Arabidopsis thaliana: one gene and its partners. The protein of the gene in region 1 purifies or fractionates together with the protein of each later gene. This does not show direct contact. Each region holds a gene or a part of one and is shown on either strand. Other genes may lie near its edges.

Region 1 (7,095 bases):
TAGGTTAATCACTCTCGGATAAGAACATTCGAACAATTACCGACACACAAAAAGTTTGAAGAGAAAAACAAAAAATGTTGTCGAGATTGTTCAAGGCAGGTGAAAAGGTTTTGTCGAATCTCGTTAGCAAGAAAGACATTTACATGGCGTCGAGGAATCAGGAGAAATCTCCCAAAGTGCAAGAGCTTTACGACCTCTGCAAAGAGACTTTCACTGGCAAAGCTCCTTCTCCTGCTTCCATGGCTATCCAAAAGCTATGCTCTGTGTTGGGTATTTTTCTTTCTTCTTTTGTCTCTGTTTGATTTTCTCCTACTGCGATAGGGTTATTGCAATTGCAGCTAGTTTTGATCGAATCAGTGACCTAGTTAAAGGGTTTAACGTTGTTTTGTTGGATTTGAATAAATGTGGAAACTCATTTGATCCACCAAATCTGGCCAATTGCAGATTCACAATTTGAAATCGTCAGAGTCTCTGAGAAGTGCAAATCTTGTAACTTTGATGTATACATGATGCAAATTTAGGATTTTTAGAGAAGAAATATCATATATTAATATATCAATCTATTCTTCATAGAGGGACTACTAGGATCAGTGATTTTATGGTTCATTGTGGTGAGAGTTGAAGTTAGAATTTGGGGAATGTTTGTTTTATAAGCAGAAGTGTGATTTGTTTTTTGGTCATTCTTGTGTGCAGACTCAGTTAGTCCTGCAGATGTTGGGCTTGAAGAGGTATCTCAAGACGATGATCGAGGCTATGGAGTTTCTGGGGTTAGCCGTTTCAATAGAGTAGGACGATGGGCACAACCGATAACATTCTTAGACATTCATGAATGTGATACTTTTACAGTAAGTCTTTGATTGATACTGAATTCTTTCTGCTGATCAATCAACAAATCTCAAAACACAAGTGTTTGTTTGTCCTTTCTTCAGATGTGTATTTTCTGCTTCCCAACGTCTTCAGTGATCCCATTGCATGATCATCCAGAGATGGCTGTGTTTAGTAAAATCCTCTATGGATCACTTCATGTTAAAGCTTACGATTGGGTCGAACCTCCATGTATTATCACACAAGATAAAGGCGTCCCCGGTTCTCTTCCAGGTTATTGTTAGTTTCTCATCTTGGGTTTCACTTTGTGTCATTGATAATTAAGACTTCTTGCAACTACTTGTATAACAGCAAGGTTGGCGAAATTGGTGAGTGACAAAGTTATAACGCCTCAGTCTGAGATACCGGCGTTGTACCCAAAGACTGGAGGCAATCTCCATTGCTTCACTGCGTTGACTCCATGTGCTGTGCTCGACATTCTCTCACCTCCTTACAAAGAAAGTGTTGGCAGGAGTTGCAGTTACTACATGGACTATCCGTTTTCCACTTTCGGTATGCAAACTTTCTCTCTTTTGCCTTTAGAAGAACATTATGTTACTCTGTTTTCGTTTACCGTTTTTTCTCTTTGGATTGATAATAATAGCATTGGAGAACGGAATGAAGAAGGTGGATGAAGGAAAGGAAGACGAATACGCATGGCTTGTACAGATTGACACGCCCGATGATCTTCACATGCGTCCCGGATCATATACTGGTCCAACTATCAGAGTCTAGATATTTGTGGTTTGTTTTGTAGCAAAGTAGAGCAACTCTTGTAACATTCCAAGATAAGTTTCTGGAGAAGATATCAATACGATTTCAGATTAAAGATGAACTCTTTGTTTAGTCCATGTCCACTTCTCAGTTCTCACACGCATTCAAGCAAATGAAACTGCGGAAAACTACAAATAGATCGGCAATGAGAAATGTTAAGATTTCATTTCGAATCTGTGCTTACATCACTGATAACAGCTTTCACAACTTTGTTAAGAGTGTCTCTTTGTTTCACAACTTAATCGGAAGAGAAGTAGAGGAAAAGATCGTTACGATTATCCAGCGGGAAAAAAAAAACGAATTCTAATGTGCCCGCTATAAAATCTTCCGCAAGAGTGTAACAGTGATGCAGCTGAATCAATAAGACTGTCTTCTTCTCCGAATTTGAAAATTAAATTCCAGTTTTTTCAGTTTGACTCTGCTTCTTCTTCCTCGTGGGTAACGACGATATACCGTTAAAATTAGGAACCAAATTACCCAATGGTCGTCGTCAAATCATTTTTAATCCCAATTTGGTATTTTTCCACGTGGGTCAAACAAAAAACAATTTTTTACATAAAGAGAAGAGAGTAGTGACGAGAAGATTAGCACTACTGAATCAAACTTAGCCGCCGCCACCGTCACGTTGAAACCTTCATCTCTCTATCTCTCTGAGACCTCTCCTTCAATGGCGTCTTCGCTTCTGAGAAACCCTAATCTCTACTCATCAACAACAATCACCACCACTTCTTTTCTTCCCACCTTCTCCTCTAAACCCACACCTATCTCCTCCTCTTTCCGTTTCCAACCATCTCACCACCGTTCAATCTCCCTCCGAAGTCAAACCCTCCGTCTCTCATGCTCAATCTCAGATCCTTCTCCACTACCACCTCACACTCCTCGCCGTCCCCGTCCTGAATACATCCCCAACCGCATTTCCGATCCAAACTACGTCCGCGTCTTCGATACTACTCTCCGTGACGGTGAACAATCTCCAGGAGCTACACTTACTTCCAAGGAAAAACTTGACATCGCTCGTCAGCTAGCTAAACTTGGTGTTGACATCATCGAGGCTGGGTTTCCTGCTGCTTCCAAGGATGATTTTGAAGCGGTTAAGACTATAGCTGAAACAGTTGGAAACACTGTTGATGAGAATGGTTATGTTCCTGTTATCTGTGGACTCTCTAGATGCAATAAGAAGGATATTGAGAGAGCTTGGGATGCTGTGAAATACGCTAAACGGCCTAGGATTCATACTTTTATAGCTACTAGTGATATACATTTGGAGTATAAACTAAAGAAAACCAAAGCAGAGGTCATCGAAATCGCTAGGAGTATGGTTAGATTCGCGAGGAGCTTGGGGTGCGAAGATGTTGAGTTCAGTCCAGAAGATGCAGGAAGGTTCGATTTTTATTAAGATTCCTTGGTAAAGATTCGTACTTTTATTTTTATGGTGATGATTGAAAAATGTTTTTTTTTTTTGTTCTGTAGATCGGAGAGAGAGTACTTATACGAGATTCTTGGTGAAGTGATAAAAGCAGGAGCAACAACTCTCAACATACCTGATACTGTTGGTATAACTTTGCCTAGTGAGTTTGGTCAACTGATTACTGATTTAAAGGCCAATACTCCGGGGATTGAAAATGTTGTCATCTCAACACATTGTCAGAATGATCTTGGACTCTCTACGGCCAACACTTTATCTGTATGTCTTTTTTTTTTTTATACTCGGAACAACTAAGCTGATTCAAACCAGTGAATATATGTGATGCTAATGTGTGTGTGATTACCTTTTTGAATTCAGGGGGCACATGCAGGTGCGAGGCAGATGGAAGTGACGATCAATGGAATTGGTGAAAGAGCTGGAAACGCTTCACTGGAAGAGGTCAGAGTTTTATTAATTTGTCAAGACATGTGAACCTTTCCTGCATTGAAATCTTTTTTGGGGCTTGATCTTACTGAGCAAGACAATTCTGTAGAACCGAGTAGTACCTTTTCATTATCAGTAGCAGTGAGATATCTGGAATAATATTCTCTAGTAAGATTTTAAAAGGCCAAATGTCTAAGTAATGAGTCTTAGTATAGCCTTGGCCCTTGGCTATAATTACCTGAAGAAGAACATGTGGGTGAGATTGTCTCAGGGTAGGCGTTTTAGACTTTCAGTTTATTTTCTGCTTACGCTGCAATGGGATATATAATCCTTACATGATGATTTTCGTGTAAGTGTAGGTTGTGATGGCCATAAAATGCCGTGGAGATCATGTATTAGGAGGTCTATTTACCGGAATTGATACTCGGCACATTGTTATGACAAGCAAGATGGTACCTCTTTTGAACTTTATTCTTTACATTGTGAAAACAAATATTACTTTTTCTTAAGAGGAAAAAGTTTGTAGATTTCCACATAAGCTGTCTCATAACTAGTGGCTTGTTTTCTCAGGTAGAGGAGTACACTGGGATGCAGACACAACCTCATAAGGCTATTGTAGGAGCGAATGCCTTTGCGCATGAAAGTGGAATTCACCAGGTTAATATTTGCATGTTCACTCTTTCAGTCTAGTGCCTAACGGTCCTCTTTTCTTCATGATTATTGTTCTTGTTGAACTTAAATGACTCTTTTACATTTTTAGGATGGAATGCTGAAACACAAGGGTACATATGAAATTATATGTCCCGAAGAAATTGGACTTGAACGATCAAATGATGCTGGCATTGTCTTGGGGAAGCTTAGGTATGAAAGTTATTCTTGTTTAGTCTGTTTTGCCTGTAATTTGTCCTTTTCTTGTTCAGACAATGCAACTAGACTGTAATTGGTGGATATGCTGATAATTTCGAGACGTTATTAGGCGTCATTTTTTTTTTCCAATTTATAAGCTAGTGTACACTACATATGTGTTTGAAACCAGAAGTCTAACTGTTGGTCTCTACTTTTGCTTGGATATATATTATGCAGTGGGCGTCATGCGCTGAAAGACCGTTTGACTGAGGTGCACAGCAATCTTACACATACAAATACTTGTATTGCCATCTTTGTGGGAGACACTAATGTTCTCTTATCTTTTGTACATTTCCAGCTTGGTTATCAATTAGATGATGAACAGCTAAGTACCATTTTCTGGCGCTTCAAAACCGTGGCTGAGCAGAAAAAGGTAGTTGCTTTTGGTTATTGTGTATTTCCTCGGAAACCTAACTTGCGTTTTCAATTCCAAATAAAAGCTTCGCAGCCATTTTGAAAGCTTTGTTAGACCTATAAGACTTGAGTCTCCGTGGCTAATTTGGAATGTACTTTGTTTCCTTAGTTCTGGCTGCATAAACTTAGGATGTGTAGAGGATTACTCTTTCTATTTTCTAGTGCTCTTGATTTGTTAATGTAATGTCTTCTGATCGTATATGTTCCCTTGCTGATCCAGAGAGTTACTGATGCGGACATAATAGCTTTAGTATCTGATGAAGTTTTCCAGCCAGAAGCCGTGTGGAAACTCCTGGACATTCAGGTGAAATTGGGATCATAATGTGCTTTCTTACTCTTTTTTCTTGTTCATTGTCTTTATCCAATTCTCATGGTACTTAAAAGTGGAATGCAGATAACTTGTGGAACTCTCGGGCTTTCAACAGCAACTGTAAAACTTGCTGACGCTGATGGCAAAGAACATGTCGCTTGTTCTATTGGAACTGGGCCTGTGGATTCAGCTTACAAGGCAGTAGATCTTATCGTAAAGGTACTGTTTATACCGCTGAGGCTCTCATCTACAAATAACTCACCAGTGGGTCATCGCTTATTGAAAACCTTTTTCCCCCTTTAGGAACCGGCTACTCTGCTTGAGTACTCAATGAATGCAGTAACAGAAGGCATTGATGCCATCGCAACCACAAGAGTTCTTATCCGTGGAAGCAACAAATACTCATCTACAAACGCAATAACTGGTGAAGAGGTTCAAAGAACCTTTAGGTAAAATCCTCTTTTGCCCCATATCTCATTCAAACCGGATCGATTTATCTGCGAAGTTTATTGTTTCTTGTTGATTCTTGCTTGTATTATAACACCAAACCGGTTGTCTTGTGTTTGGCAGTGGAACTGGAGCAGGAATGGATATTGTGGTGTCAAGCGTCAAAGCTTATGTTGGAGCTTTGAACAAAATGATGGACTTCAAAGAAAACTCCGCCACAAAAATCCCTTCCCAAAAAAACAGAGTCGCTGCCTGAATTAAAAATCTTTCCGGCAAATACCAAAAAGTCAGACAGAAGTTAGGTTCTTTTATTTTCAAGTACATAGTTTGGTAATAACTGGAGTTTCGGAGTTTGCTTGTTGTTTATCGAAGTTGCATGTCAAAAGAGTTTGGTGTACTATATATATCTTGATTTAACTTGAATCTCTATTTTTAGAAATAATGGTTTTAGAATAAGGAATAAAAACCAACCGTTAAACAGTTTTAACCTATTTCAAAAAGCTGTCTTTAGACTAAACTAAGGTCTTAAAACTCAAAAACAAAACTGATACCTCTCTGTTCTTGATTCCTTGTCTCTTTGTTACAACCTCTTCATATATCACACAAGTCAAAACATCATATACTCTACGAGTCATTTTAGATTTCCTGATTTGCAAAAAATGTCAGAGATACGAACAGGGTTCTTAACAATGGCGACCATAATCCTTATATGCATAGGCTTAACAATGACGGGAACAGGTTTATATTACAGAAAAACAGTCTCGAAATGTATCCGAGAAACGGATGGCAGTTTCGTCGTCATTGGTTTGCTCTTGCTGGTGATTCCTCAGTTTGCTCTTTACGCAATCTGTTGTCACTCAAAACGTATGTTCACAATCTACATCTATGCAATGATATTCGTAAGCATTGTCCTTGGTGGCTACTCTTTAAAGTGTTTCATCTACAACACAACCTTTGGAATCGCCAAGAACCCGGCTGAGGAAAAGCGAACCGCCAAGCAATTGGTAGGCAGGCTAGTCCCTGAAAGTAAACTTGCAAAAGTCACGGAGTGCATCATTCATAACCATGACTGTAACTTCAATGCCAGCCAAAACAGCAATGTTTGGGTAAGTACTTAATTATGTCACCTCATCCTGATTCATTCGTAATAAAAGATCAATTCTCTAACAATGATGATATATATAGAGGTATTGCTGCGCGCAACCAAGAGGATGTGGAGTGACGACAATGTTCGGGCAACCAGGAGAATGGAGTTGGAAACATCAACACGTAGAGAACCATGTTCCGGAAGAATGTTCTTACGAATACTGTCTCAGTTGCAGAGGTTGCCAGATGAGCATCTTAAAAGCCATTGTTCATCAATGGAAATATCTCTCCATGTTCTCTTATCCTGCCCTCTTTCTCGTTTGTCTCAGCCTCGCCATTTCCAGGTCCATTATGGATACTTTCGATGAACCTGATGATTATAGGGGCTATTATTCTTGATTTCATTTTTCCATATCAAATGTACATGATATATATTTAATTCTAG
Region 2 (4,276 bases), on another chromosome or scaffold:
TTATTAGTATTTTCCAATGTCAAGAAAACAATAAATGGACTATAACTCTCTGCTTAATGCCTAAAGGGCTAGAACAATTAGTCAATTAGTGGATAGACGATTTTTTAGAGGTTTAAATAGTTTTCAAATAAAAATAAAATATATTTCTGTATTAATATAACATAATAAAAACAAGTTAATAGAAATAAATTGTATATTTTAAATTAATCAAAATACATAAGCAAGAAATATGAGTATTCAGTATTCACTAATTTTAAAATACATAAATTTAAAAGCATTAGGCTAAATTCACCTATCTTACCAAAATCTATCTAATACAATTAATCTGCATGATAACTGGATAATCTGCTAAATCTAACTAGCTACTTAAGAGGTGGTGATCTACGCCTAGAACGTCTAATCATGATTTAGGAGATTTTAAGCGGCTACACATTTACAACATAACATATTATAAATATTATATTATAAATAAAATTCATAGAAAACTATCTCTTAGAAAAATAAAAATATGAAATTATAAACAAAACTTAGATAAAACCATTTATAATTCATAGCAAACAATATATACAAAGCTAAAACTTATAATTTAAATTGATATAGTTGGAAACAAACAATATATACAAAGCTAAAACTTATAATTTAAATTTATATAGTTGGAAACAAACAATATATACAAAGCTAAAACTTATAATTTAAATTTATATAGTTGAAAACTAAAAAATAAACTAAAATAAAACTTATGGAATTTTAGACAGCCAAAACGGTTATTTAGATATCACATAAACGTCTAAAATCTAGATGACGATCAACTAGGGATGTCAGACGGGCGAGCACGCGACCAAATGGGGGGTCCGTGATGGCCCGTGCTTCTTTTCCATAAGTGGTGGTCCGGTCCGCCAACGACCACATGCGACCAATCGAAGCCCATATTCGCCTCGCAATGTCCATTGGTCTAACGGTCTGGCCCGCAATCCTGTTCTGTTCTAGTTGTCTCTGAAACACACTGTGTTGTTCTCGTCTCTGAAACACAGTGTTGTTCTCGTCTCTGAAACCTTCGCTTATGGAGAACTTCTGTTCTATTGCATGCCTTTGAAGACAAGAGACTTTGACCGTAATAAATGGTTATTCCACAAGTTTTGTAATTCTGTGTTATCACCAAACACAAACTGTTCAGTCTACTCCATCGTTAATATCTAGGTTCACCATTGAATCTTCCACCAGCTATAACCAAACAACGACGAAAAAGAGATGTCATAACTATTTAACTACACAAATAGCATCTAAAAATAGCAACAAAAAAAATCAAAAACTAGTCATTACTTAGTACCTATGAAATTGTTTCCAAATGTCTCCAATTAGAACCTTGGATCCTTCAACGATGGTGATACTACCAACACCACCAAGGACGAGATTCTTCAAGGCATTGGAACCAATAGGACCACAATTGAGTAAACAGATACTCGCTTCTTCCAAAGTCCCTTGACTTCACCTCAAAATCCTAATCAATCAACGATTACTTCATAAAATTTCCTCCCAACAAGATTCGTTCGAAGATCGATAGAATAATACAAATGTAGAGTTCGAAGAGACTAACATAGTATACATGAGTTGACGATCGTACTTGGCTTTAGGTTCCATCATTGTTAGAGATGAGAGATCATATGTTCGTAAGTCGTAAACAGAGGAAGAAGAACAAGCGCGTCGTCCACAAGTCCGCAGACATTAATAGATAAACCATGACTAATCCACAATCCAAAGTTCCAAACGCACCCAACCCGCAATGCCCGCTCTTTTTTTGGACTCCCTTATACAGGCCCATACCTACTCTGCAATATTACTAAACGGGCCAGGCAAAGGCCCAATTGATATCTTTACCATCAACACTTTTTTAAAACATTGATTTTAGTAAAATTTATGTTGTTTAGGAACGTCAAACGCTTAAATAGCTTTTGTTTGACTTGTAGTTTTGCAAATATATAACTTCTCTTTTGACGTATAAAATAAAACTGAAGAATCTGAAATTTGGATAACATGTTAATAATCTTCTTTTACCATTTTTTTCAAAAGTATTGTAGTTAAAAAAAAATTGATTATTGTAAGAAGGGGAAAAACATGAAGGACTACAAGTCTACAACGATAAACTAACGCTGTCTGGTTCCGGTTTACAGTTCAGATCCAAACCCAAACCCTGTAACCCGACCCGATTAATCTCATCGAATTCTCCGTCTCGAACGCCGTTACAATCCAACGAGTTTCTCAACCCAAGATTCTGACTCCGTTTCCTCTTCTTAGACGGTAACTCTCCCTCAGCAACACCGCCGTTAACTTTCGCAACCGTTCGTGTCGCCACGTGTACTCTCCGTAATATCTTGAAAAACTCATCCACCTCTTCCTCCGTTACCGTCCGAACAACTTCCGTCGACGGTTTCCCTCTGTTACCGTCAGATTTTCCGTTATCTTCTTCTACGCGTTCTTCTTTCTTCAAAGAGTTGTTCATGTTAGCCAGAAGAAAATGTTAACGGCGTCGTTTAAGCTTAGTCAAGAAAAAATTATTTGCTGATTTTATTTTGCTAAAATTTATAATGAAACTCTTATAGCCGTCGGTGTGGAACTTAGACGGTCGATATTGTCAACAACTAAATAAATTGGACGGTGGAGATTGATGCTAATGACATCATCATGCGATGTTTTAAAGCGTAAGTATCATGACGTCACACTTTATTGACTTTTGGAATAAAGGAAGTCCATGTGTGGAAAAATTGGTATCGGCTATATTTTTAGAGTATATGTAAGAAATAACTTTTGACTTCAAAAGAATACACAAAATAACCTTGGACCAAATAGTATTTGTCGGCTACAGAAATTTTGGCAATAGTTAGTCTATTTTAGCCTTTCTCTTTCTTCTTCCTTCTTTTGTTTCTTTTTCATCTTCTTTACGAGACTTTAGCCATGGAGTTCTCTTTCTCTCTTCATCTTTAACACAATTCATCTTCTTCAGATTCACCATGTCATTTTCTTTTTCTATTTCTCTCTCCCTCTCCTAAAATAATCTTCACCACCTCTCATAAAATATATCATCATATCTCTTTATTTTGTTCACCTACATGTTCTCTCTTTCTTTTTCCATAGAAATCTCTCTATCTCTCATTCTTTATTTTCTCTTTTTACCTGAATTTTCCGTCAATGTCGTTGTGATATAAGAGATTAGATTTGATTTTAAAACAAATGTCTGATTTTAAAATGCATGTATTTTAAGAACAAAACATGTTATTAACACTGATATATTAATATTTGTCATGCTATCCAATAAAAACTCATGAAATAAATAAATATTTGTCATGTTATCCAATAAAAACCCATGTAATATTGTAACAATTCTATATGTTTTTTTAAACTTCGCGATCTATAAGAGAATTGCATGCTTTTTATAAATATTTCGTGCTATTTCTGAGAAACACATTATTTCAGAGAAACATATATATCGTGTATATATATTCTGTATGTATTTTAAAGAATTGCATGATTTTTGTAAATATATCATGCTATTTTAGACAAATACATATAAACTTTATAACTAAAGCCAATGGCATTATTGTAAAAATAAGTAAACACAAGGATATTTTTGTATTTTCTCTTTTTCAGAAAATGTTATTTACCTAACTTTTCTGACACAATGTCATTCTCTCAATTCTTTTCCATTTCATAGTTAGTTTCTAATATTACCCATATTTTTATATACATAGAGATCTATATTTTTATAATTTAACAAAGACCAAAAAAATTTGGCCAAACAACAAATAAATAAGGAAGACTAAGAACTTGTGAATTGTGATCATCGTTAACGTGGGGAAGATTTTCTTGCGATTATTATTCCTAGTCTTATTTATTTATTTATTTCCACTATCAATTTAAAATGACACGTAAATTTGTAATGATTTTTCGAATAATGTAAGCACTAATTGATATTGGTGTTTTAACTTTTAACAAAAGAAAACAAAGATCTACATATGGGCCTAAAGTAAAAGCCTTTTAGTTAAGTACATTATAATTGGGCTTTATATCTTAACAACGTCGAATCAATTGTAGGGCCGACGTGGGCGGCTAAGCTGTTTCCAACTTTCCAACTTCCGACCAGCTCCACTTGTGTCTTTCGCTCTCTCTACACTTATGTTTTTTTTTTTTCAACTCTCTGTTTTGTCTGACGTGTCCACTTACTAATAATTTTTGAAAAAACTTTCCACATATAAAAATTGCTTGATGGTCGTCGTCGATGGCT
Region 3 (6,465 bases), on another chromosome or scaffold:
CCAAAGTTTTGTTTCCACTTATGTACAGGAAACACAGGTCCTAGTAACAGCCTGTTTAGGGTATGCGGTCTATATTGTTCTATGCATTATTAGCATTCGGAACCCAAAATATGTACCAATAAAAAACGGATTAAAACGTAAATCGATGTGCCAATCATTTCCAACTATCACAAAATGAAATATTGTTGCTACTGATGTGCATTGACCGCTTTCTATAATATGTTTGATATACTGTATCAGCCATGGATGAGTGTCACAAGTGTTTGAAACACAAAAGAACTAGAAGAACAGTCACGGTACCTCCAAAGGACCCACGAAAGACATTGCAGGCAGAATCCTCCATTAATAGCCGTAGCTCCGTTTCTTTGAGAAAGCTTTTATCATTGTTCACATCGGAAACAGCTGCCTCTAGAGCTACTTTTGCAGCTCTTCCGATAACCGAATCAAAAGCAAAAACAGCACCGATGTTCACCAGTTGAGGTCTTTGGCAATCCATTGGAACCACCAGAATGACCACAATCAGTGCCGTAATAGCGACAGATGGGTCAATGCCCAGTCCCATGGAGATAATGCAATCAAAGTAAGGACCACTTCAGATAGTTTGTGTTGGAACTAGAACCATCTCATTTAAATCTAGCAACTCTTCATTCAGCATTGAGGATGAGAAGATTAGAGAACTAAGCAAGGTAAAGTTTCCAACTTTGACCTGTAGAGTCAATGCGATTAGAAGACGAATCAAGATCTAAGCGAAGAGCAATCACAAGTCAAACCAAATTGATTATTTTAGCTGAAAACTAGCAACAATGTGGATATGAAGACTTATATACACAAACTCATCCGGACAGAAGAAAAATCTGAAAAAGAGTTTTTACAAATTCATTGAAATTAACAACAGTGAGACATTCTCTTTACCTCTTTGAGCTACCTTCTGGTTCTCTCTGCGGAATATACGCAAACACTTTGTAGGCATAAGTTAAAAAAGGGAAATTTTACGACAACGCAACGAATTTTTAACAAGAGAAGTCAAGAACTATCTTTTTTAAAAAACCATGATTTGACAGGAGATTACTAAAGGAAGAGAAACAAAACTAGAGAGATCAAATCATGCCCAGAAATTCATCCATCATTCTTCTTCTTCTGAGAACAAAATAGAAGAGAGAAATTGAAAAACGTGTGACTGAAGTGCTTTTTTGATTCGAGCTCACAAAGTCCTATCTAGTCTATATACTCTATAGTCACAGCAGCCGTTTGTTTGTATTTTTGTTTTCAGTGGGGCCCATCATTATTGGGCCCTACATGTAACGGCCCATTTTGTTAAGTTTATTTAAGATTAGATTACAATATAAATATTTTAATTGCCATGTGTTAATCATTTTATTTCTTCTCAAAAGTTTATTCTCTTAAGTTAATTTGTCAATGAAATGTTAATAGTATTTCATTTTATTTTTGCATAAAGAGAGACCCGTAGCAAGGCAAAATTTGAGTTGGCGTTTTTTATTCATAATAAAGATTTTTAGGCGGCAAAAAACTATTACATAATGAGATTTTATCACTTATTCATCTAATAATATTTAATTAAATTACATATGTGTTTTTTTCTAGCTATGTCATTTATTTTTACAATTTATATAAAATTTTGATATGTTTCCATGTATATATATATTTTAATAAATGAAAACTCAATCCAGAAAACATAAATTTTGATTTTATTTTAAATTATATGTTTTTATTTATAATTTGTTATCTCTTTTATACATTAAGGTGTTTTTGCAATAATACAGTCTTAATTTTTAAAAATTACAATTAAGCCCTAAACTTTGTAAATGTTCCAAATTAGGAAGGAAATAAAGAAAGGAGACAACTTAAGGTTCTCTTATTAAATGCCATTCCCTTTCTTTCTTACAAGTCACAACCTCTCTCTCTCTCTCTCTCTCTCTCTCTCTCTCTCTGCGTCTTTCTCTTTCTCTCTGTCTGAAGTTGAGAACACGAACCACTGAAAAACCCGCGAAAGACTCGAGCACGAACCAACAATGGCGGAACCCAAAACCAAGTATGATCGTCAGCTAAGGTGCACTCTTTCTCCTCCCAACTCTCTTTCTCTTCTTCAACTTCTCTGTCTCTTTCATCATTCTTCTTAATTTCGCTCAAATTGTGATGATTGGGGATAAATTCATAGGATTTGGGGAGAATTAGGTCAATCAGCTCTTGAAACCGCGAGCATATGTTTGCTCAATTGTGGTCCAACTGGCTCTGAGGCTCTAAAGAATCTTGTTATTGGTGGAATCGGAAGTATCACCATTGTCGACGGATCTAAAGTAGAAATTGGCGACCTTGGAAACAATTTCATGGGTATAATTCTCTCTTTTTCATCTTTCTTAAGCAATGCGTTTCTTCTATTTGCTGTTTATTGACATTTATTGATGATTGTTGTTGATGTTTCAGTGGATGCGAAGAGCGTTGGTCAGTCAAGAGCCAAAACGGTCTGTGGCTTTCTTCAGGAGCTTAACGATTCTGTTAAAGCAAATTTTGTTGAGGAGAATCCAGACACTTTGATATCGACAGACCCATCTTTCTTCTCTCAGTTCACTCTAGTTATCGCCACTCAGGTACATTATGTTGAGGATTAGATAGTTTCTAGTCTTTGTTTTCAGATTTTCACAGAGCGTTTGCCTTATTAGTTTGTCATGTGTTGATTGTAGCTAGTAGAAGATTCAATGGTGAAATTAGATAGAATCTGCCGGGAAGCAAACGTCATGTTGGTTTTGGCTCGCTCCTATGGACTTACTGGGTTTGTTCGTATCAGTGTAAAGGTAAGATTTTTGTGGATAGAGTGCTTTGTCACTTGTCATATGGTCTGTCTGCTAACTGCTATGTCATGTTCGCTCTTTCCTGTCAGGAACACACCGCTATTGAGACAAAGCCTGATCATTCTCTTGATGATCTCCGCTTGAATAGTCCATGGCCTGAGCTGAAGAGGTACTCTGCTTCAATCTTCTCACTCGTTATGTGTTCTTGCCATTCTTTAAACTTGTGTTTCAAATTACTTTTAATCTCCACAAACTTGCAACCAGTTGAAAGAAAATCTTATTTATTCAATGATCTGCAGCTATGTGGAGTCCATTGATCTAAATGTAGAAGAACCCGCTGCCCATAAGCACATTCCTTACGTCGTCATTCTAGTCAAGGTGGCTGAAGAATGGGCTCAACACCATAGCGGCAACCTTCCATCAACCAGGGAAGAGAAAAACGAGTTTAAGGTATCCTTACTTTTTGTTAATCAGCAAACAGTTATTAATCTTTGTTTTTCTTGTGATTCCTTGTCTTTATCTCTCTTACTCCTTGAAATTTTAGGACTTAGTTAAGTCCAAGATGGTATCAGCGGATGAAGAAAATTACAAAGAAGCCCTTCTTGCAGCTTTCAAAGTCTTTGCTCCTACAGGAATCAGTAAGTATACATACACCTCGTCTTGACATCGGTGGAAACTGGACTTTTAAATATATACTATAGATGCTGGAAATAAAGAAATTGGTTGGAGAATGGGAAAAACTGCAACGAGAACCAAATGGACAACTATCTACTATTTTCATGAAGCATGATTCATTGCTGCTCATTCATAACAGATCAGTTAACATTGGAGTTCAAAATATGAAGTCAGTTTTCACATTGAACTAAACATGTTTTCTTTTTCTCCAGGCCAAGAGATTCAAGACATTAATCATGATAGTTGTGCTGAAGTTGGCTCAAATTCCTCAGATTTTTGGGTAATGGTAGCAGCACTCAAGGTTTGTAACTTGAAAGACCTCACTTCAAAGCACATACTTCATATTGATATTTCAAACATGGAAGGGGTTGAGAACGTTTGTTGGGGTTTTAGTATTTTTTTGATCCAAGTTAGCTTTTTTTTCTGATTCCCATCAACATGGCTCAAATTCCTCAGATTTTTCTGATCCAAGTTAACCCTACTTATTATATGCATCATCTGCAGGAGTTTATTTCAAATGAAGGTGGTGGGGAGGTACCACTTGAAGGTTCCATGCCTGATATGATATCTTCCACAGAGTAAGTTCTCCTGTTCTTGCTTTTGTTTCATGGGAGGGATAAAATTCGTCCATCACCTTTATCAGATTACTATATAGCTGTATTGTATCTTTTGCAGGCACTACATCAATTTGCAGAAAATCTACCATTCCAAAGCGGAAGCTGATTTTCTTTCCATGGAACAGAGAGTAAAAAGTATTCTAGTTAAAGTTGGTCAGGATCCAAGTAGCATCTCAAAGCCAACTATCAAGAGCTTCTGCAAGAATGCACGAAAACTTAAAGTGAGAATGCTGAAATTTCTTACAATTTGATGTGTACTGTATCATTAAAACCGGGAATTGCGCCTTGTAGGTCTGCAGATATAGAACGATAGAAGACGAGTTCAAAAGTCCTTCTACAACAGAACTACATAAGTACTTGGCTGATGAGAATTACAGGTAAGAATGACTTCGTCAAAATTGATTCTTTTATACGACCATAGAGACTGTGATAACAAAAATATTACTGGAGTATATTTGTAGAACTGAAAAATAATATTTACAGTTGCAGCATTTTGGAGGCATGTTGCTGTTAGCTCTTAAGGGTCTTACCACTTTTCTGTTTATTCCTCTTGCAGTGGCGCAATTGGATTTTATATTCTTCTTAGAGCTGTTGATAGATTTGCTGGTACCTATAAGAAGTTTCCTGGACAGTTTGATGGGTAAGAGAACACATTCTGGCAAAATTTGATTGTATCTTGAATAATTTTGGCATTGTTAGGCCATTAACATGTCTCTTTTCTCATAGATCAACTGATGAGGACGCATCCCAGTTAAAGACTATTGCCCTGAGTCTTCTTAGTGAAATGGGTTGTGACGGCTATGAACTTCAGGAAGAACTGTACAATGAGATGTGTAGATTTGGTGCTGCAGAGATTCACGTGGTTGCTGCTTTAATAGGAGGAATCACATCTCAAGAAGTGATCAAGGTTCGTTTCATATCCATGTTGCTCAAAATGGTTACCCCGCAGTATCAAATAGGAGTGTGAAACAAACATTAACCTCTTTTATGGTTTGGCAATGTTTGCAGCTCATCACAAAGCAGTTTGTTCCCAAGCGAGGAACTTTCATCTTCAACGGCATTGATCACAAGTCTCAGTCTTTGACATTATAGAAGATTCTTAGACACTGGTGGCTGCAGAAGAACTCCAACATATCTTTTACCCTCACTTCAAGTTGAAACTTAACCTTTTCTTGGAGTTTTTATTCTGCTATACACCAGACTAACTAGATATCATTTCTTTGTAGAAACAGTTTCGAATTCCTCATGTATATTGATTGATTTTGAGCCGCGGTTCAAAACCGAAGAGCTCGCGTTAAGTGATGGGCATAGAGCCATTTTTGTATGACTTTCCTAAAGCAAAATTCTGGTATCGTTTCAAAATAGTCATATACTGCAATTTTAAAAGGATCAGACTTTTGGCTAAAACAAAGTACAGAGGTCTACAGAAGAATACAACAACAAACCACTGATGCGGTCGGGGGATTACAAAATAATCCTAGATTATGACAATCCAAAATTGACGAAACGGTAGAGATGGTACAGAAACAGACAAATCTACTCGGTGGAGAGTCTCTTTGTGGGATTGTAAACGCTGAATTCTCCAAAGTCTCTTCGGCCACTAGCAACAAAACAATCAAACCCTTGTAAAGAACAAGGTCCACATAAATTCACTTTTAGTAAATTCAAAGACTTTTGGTTCTCTAACACAAAAGTTGTTACTTGTCTCATGTCACAACAAGATATGATAAACATCCAAGTAGAACCTCAAGTTTATAATTAAAAAGAAGACGTAAATCTAAGGTTTACCTGTGACTAACATTCCAACCACCAGGTAAATGGCGAGGATGAACAGCATCAACAAACACTTTTCTCCACCTTTGACAGAAATCACGTACACCATCTTCTCCATGTTCCCTTAAAAGATATTCTACGATCTGTTTCCCGTGCGGTCCATGTCCTAACAAAGAGAGTTTGGAGTTTTGTTGGTGCAACGTATTCCCATTACACTGAGTATCATTTAGCTCTTTAGCTCCATCTCCTTCACTTGTACCATCACCACTATCATCAACAACTGTGCTCCTTTCTACAGTCATAATTTTCTCAAAATCTGCAAGAGCCTCCCCATCATTGTTTTCATCTAAAGATACGAAGTTGTTTGCATCAGTATTTCTGGATATCAAAGGATCATCATATCTTACACTTTATCAACCAACACAATTTTCAATGCTTATTATATGGTTACCTTCTTGTTTGTCCATACCAGCAACCTCTGCAGAATGTTTGAAGGAGACCCCTTTTTTCCTTTCGAGTTTTCTTCTTTCGTGAGGGCTCAATCCGATGAGTAAAGCTTTCTCTAAATCTTCTTCAGATAGGTCCCGTCCACC

The links.
Region 2: the proteins of MAML-4 (region 1) and AT3G25880 fractionate together in Arabidopsis thaliana (co-fractionation; one large-scale study listed by BioGRID). This does not show direct contact.
Region 3: the proteins of MAML-4 (region 1) and AXL fractionate together in Arabidopsis thaliana (co-fractionation; one large-scale study listed by BioGRID). This does not show direct contact.

The regions. Positions count from the first base shown.
Region 1 is NC_003070.9:6,367,042-6,374,136, forward strand, and holds MAML-4 (methylthioalkylmalate synthase-like 4), read left to right. Parts: upstream 1-1,924; 5' UTR 1,925-2,305; coding exon 2,306-3,018; intron 3,019-3,108; coding exon 3,109-3,322; intron 3,323-3,421; coding exon 3,422-3,502; intron 3,503-3,846; coding exon 3,847-3,939; intron 3,940-4,057; coding exon 4,058-4,144; intron 4,145-4,247; coding exon 4,248-4,348; intron 4,349-4,570; coding exon 4,571-4,604; intron 4,605-4,691; coding exon 4,692-4,766; intron 4,767-5,027; coding exon 5,028-5,111; intron 5,112-5,201; coding exon 5,202-5,336; intron 5,337-5,420; coding exon 5,421-5,566; intron 5,567-5,687; coding exon 5,688-5,820; 3' UTR 5,821-6,039; downstream 6,040-7,095. Other genes in the region: AT1G18490 (2-aminoethanethiol dioxygenase, putative (DUF1637)), read left to right, coding at 75-270, 694-845, 930-1,098, 1,177-1,377, 1,469-1,599; TET16 (tetraspanin), read left to right, coding at 6,224-6,670, 6,750-7,049.
Region 2 is NC_003074.8:9,468,393-9,472,668, forward strand, and holds AT3G25880 (NAD(P)-binding Rossmann-fold superfamily protein), read right to left. Parts: upstream 1,642-4,276; coding exon 1,595-1,641; intron 1,484-1,594; coding exon 1,328-1,483; coding exon of another isoform or gene 1,321-1,327; exon of another isoform or gene 1,222-1,320; coding exon 1,200-1,221; 3' UTR 713-1,199; downstream 1-712. Other genes in the region: NIMIN-2 (NIM1-interacting 2), read right to left, coding at 2,129-2,497.
Region 3 is NC_003071.7:13,755,672-13,762,136, forward strand, and holds AXL (AXR1-like protein), read left to right. Parts: upstream 1-1,921; 5' UTR 1,922-2,030; coding exon 2,031-2,068; intron 2,069-2,176; coding exon 2,177-2,349; intron 2,350-2,442; coding exon 2,443-2,606; intron 2,607-2,699; coding exon 2,700-2,810; intron 2,811-2,896; coding exon 2,897-2,976; intron 2,977-3,106; coding exon 3,107-3,257; intron 3,258-3,351; coding exon 3,352-3,445; intron 3,446-3,694; coding exon 3,695-3,783; intron 3,784-3,986; coding exon 3,987-4,060; intron 4,061-4,157; coding exon 4,158-4,320; intron 4,321-4,390; coding exon 4,391-4,476; coding exon of another isoform or gene 4,477-4,480; exon of another isoform or gene 4,481-4,582; coding exon of another isoform or gene 4,583-4,613; exon of another isoform or gene 4,614-4,655; coding exon 4,656-4,739; intron 4,740-4,825; coding exon 4,826-5,006; intron 5,007-5,107; coding exon 5,108-5,191; 3' UTR 5,192-5,481; downstream 5,482-6,465. Other genes in the region: GLR5 (glutamate receptor 5), read right to left, coding at 301-562; AT2G32415 (Polynucleotidyl transferase, ribonuclease H fold protein with HRDC domain-containing protein), read right to left, coding at 5,636-5,699, 5,888-6,218, 6,324-6,465. UniProt on the Arabidopsis thaliana protein: Regulatory subunit of the dimeric ECR1-AXL1 E1 enzyme.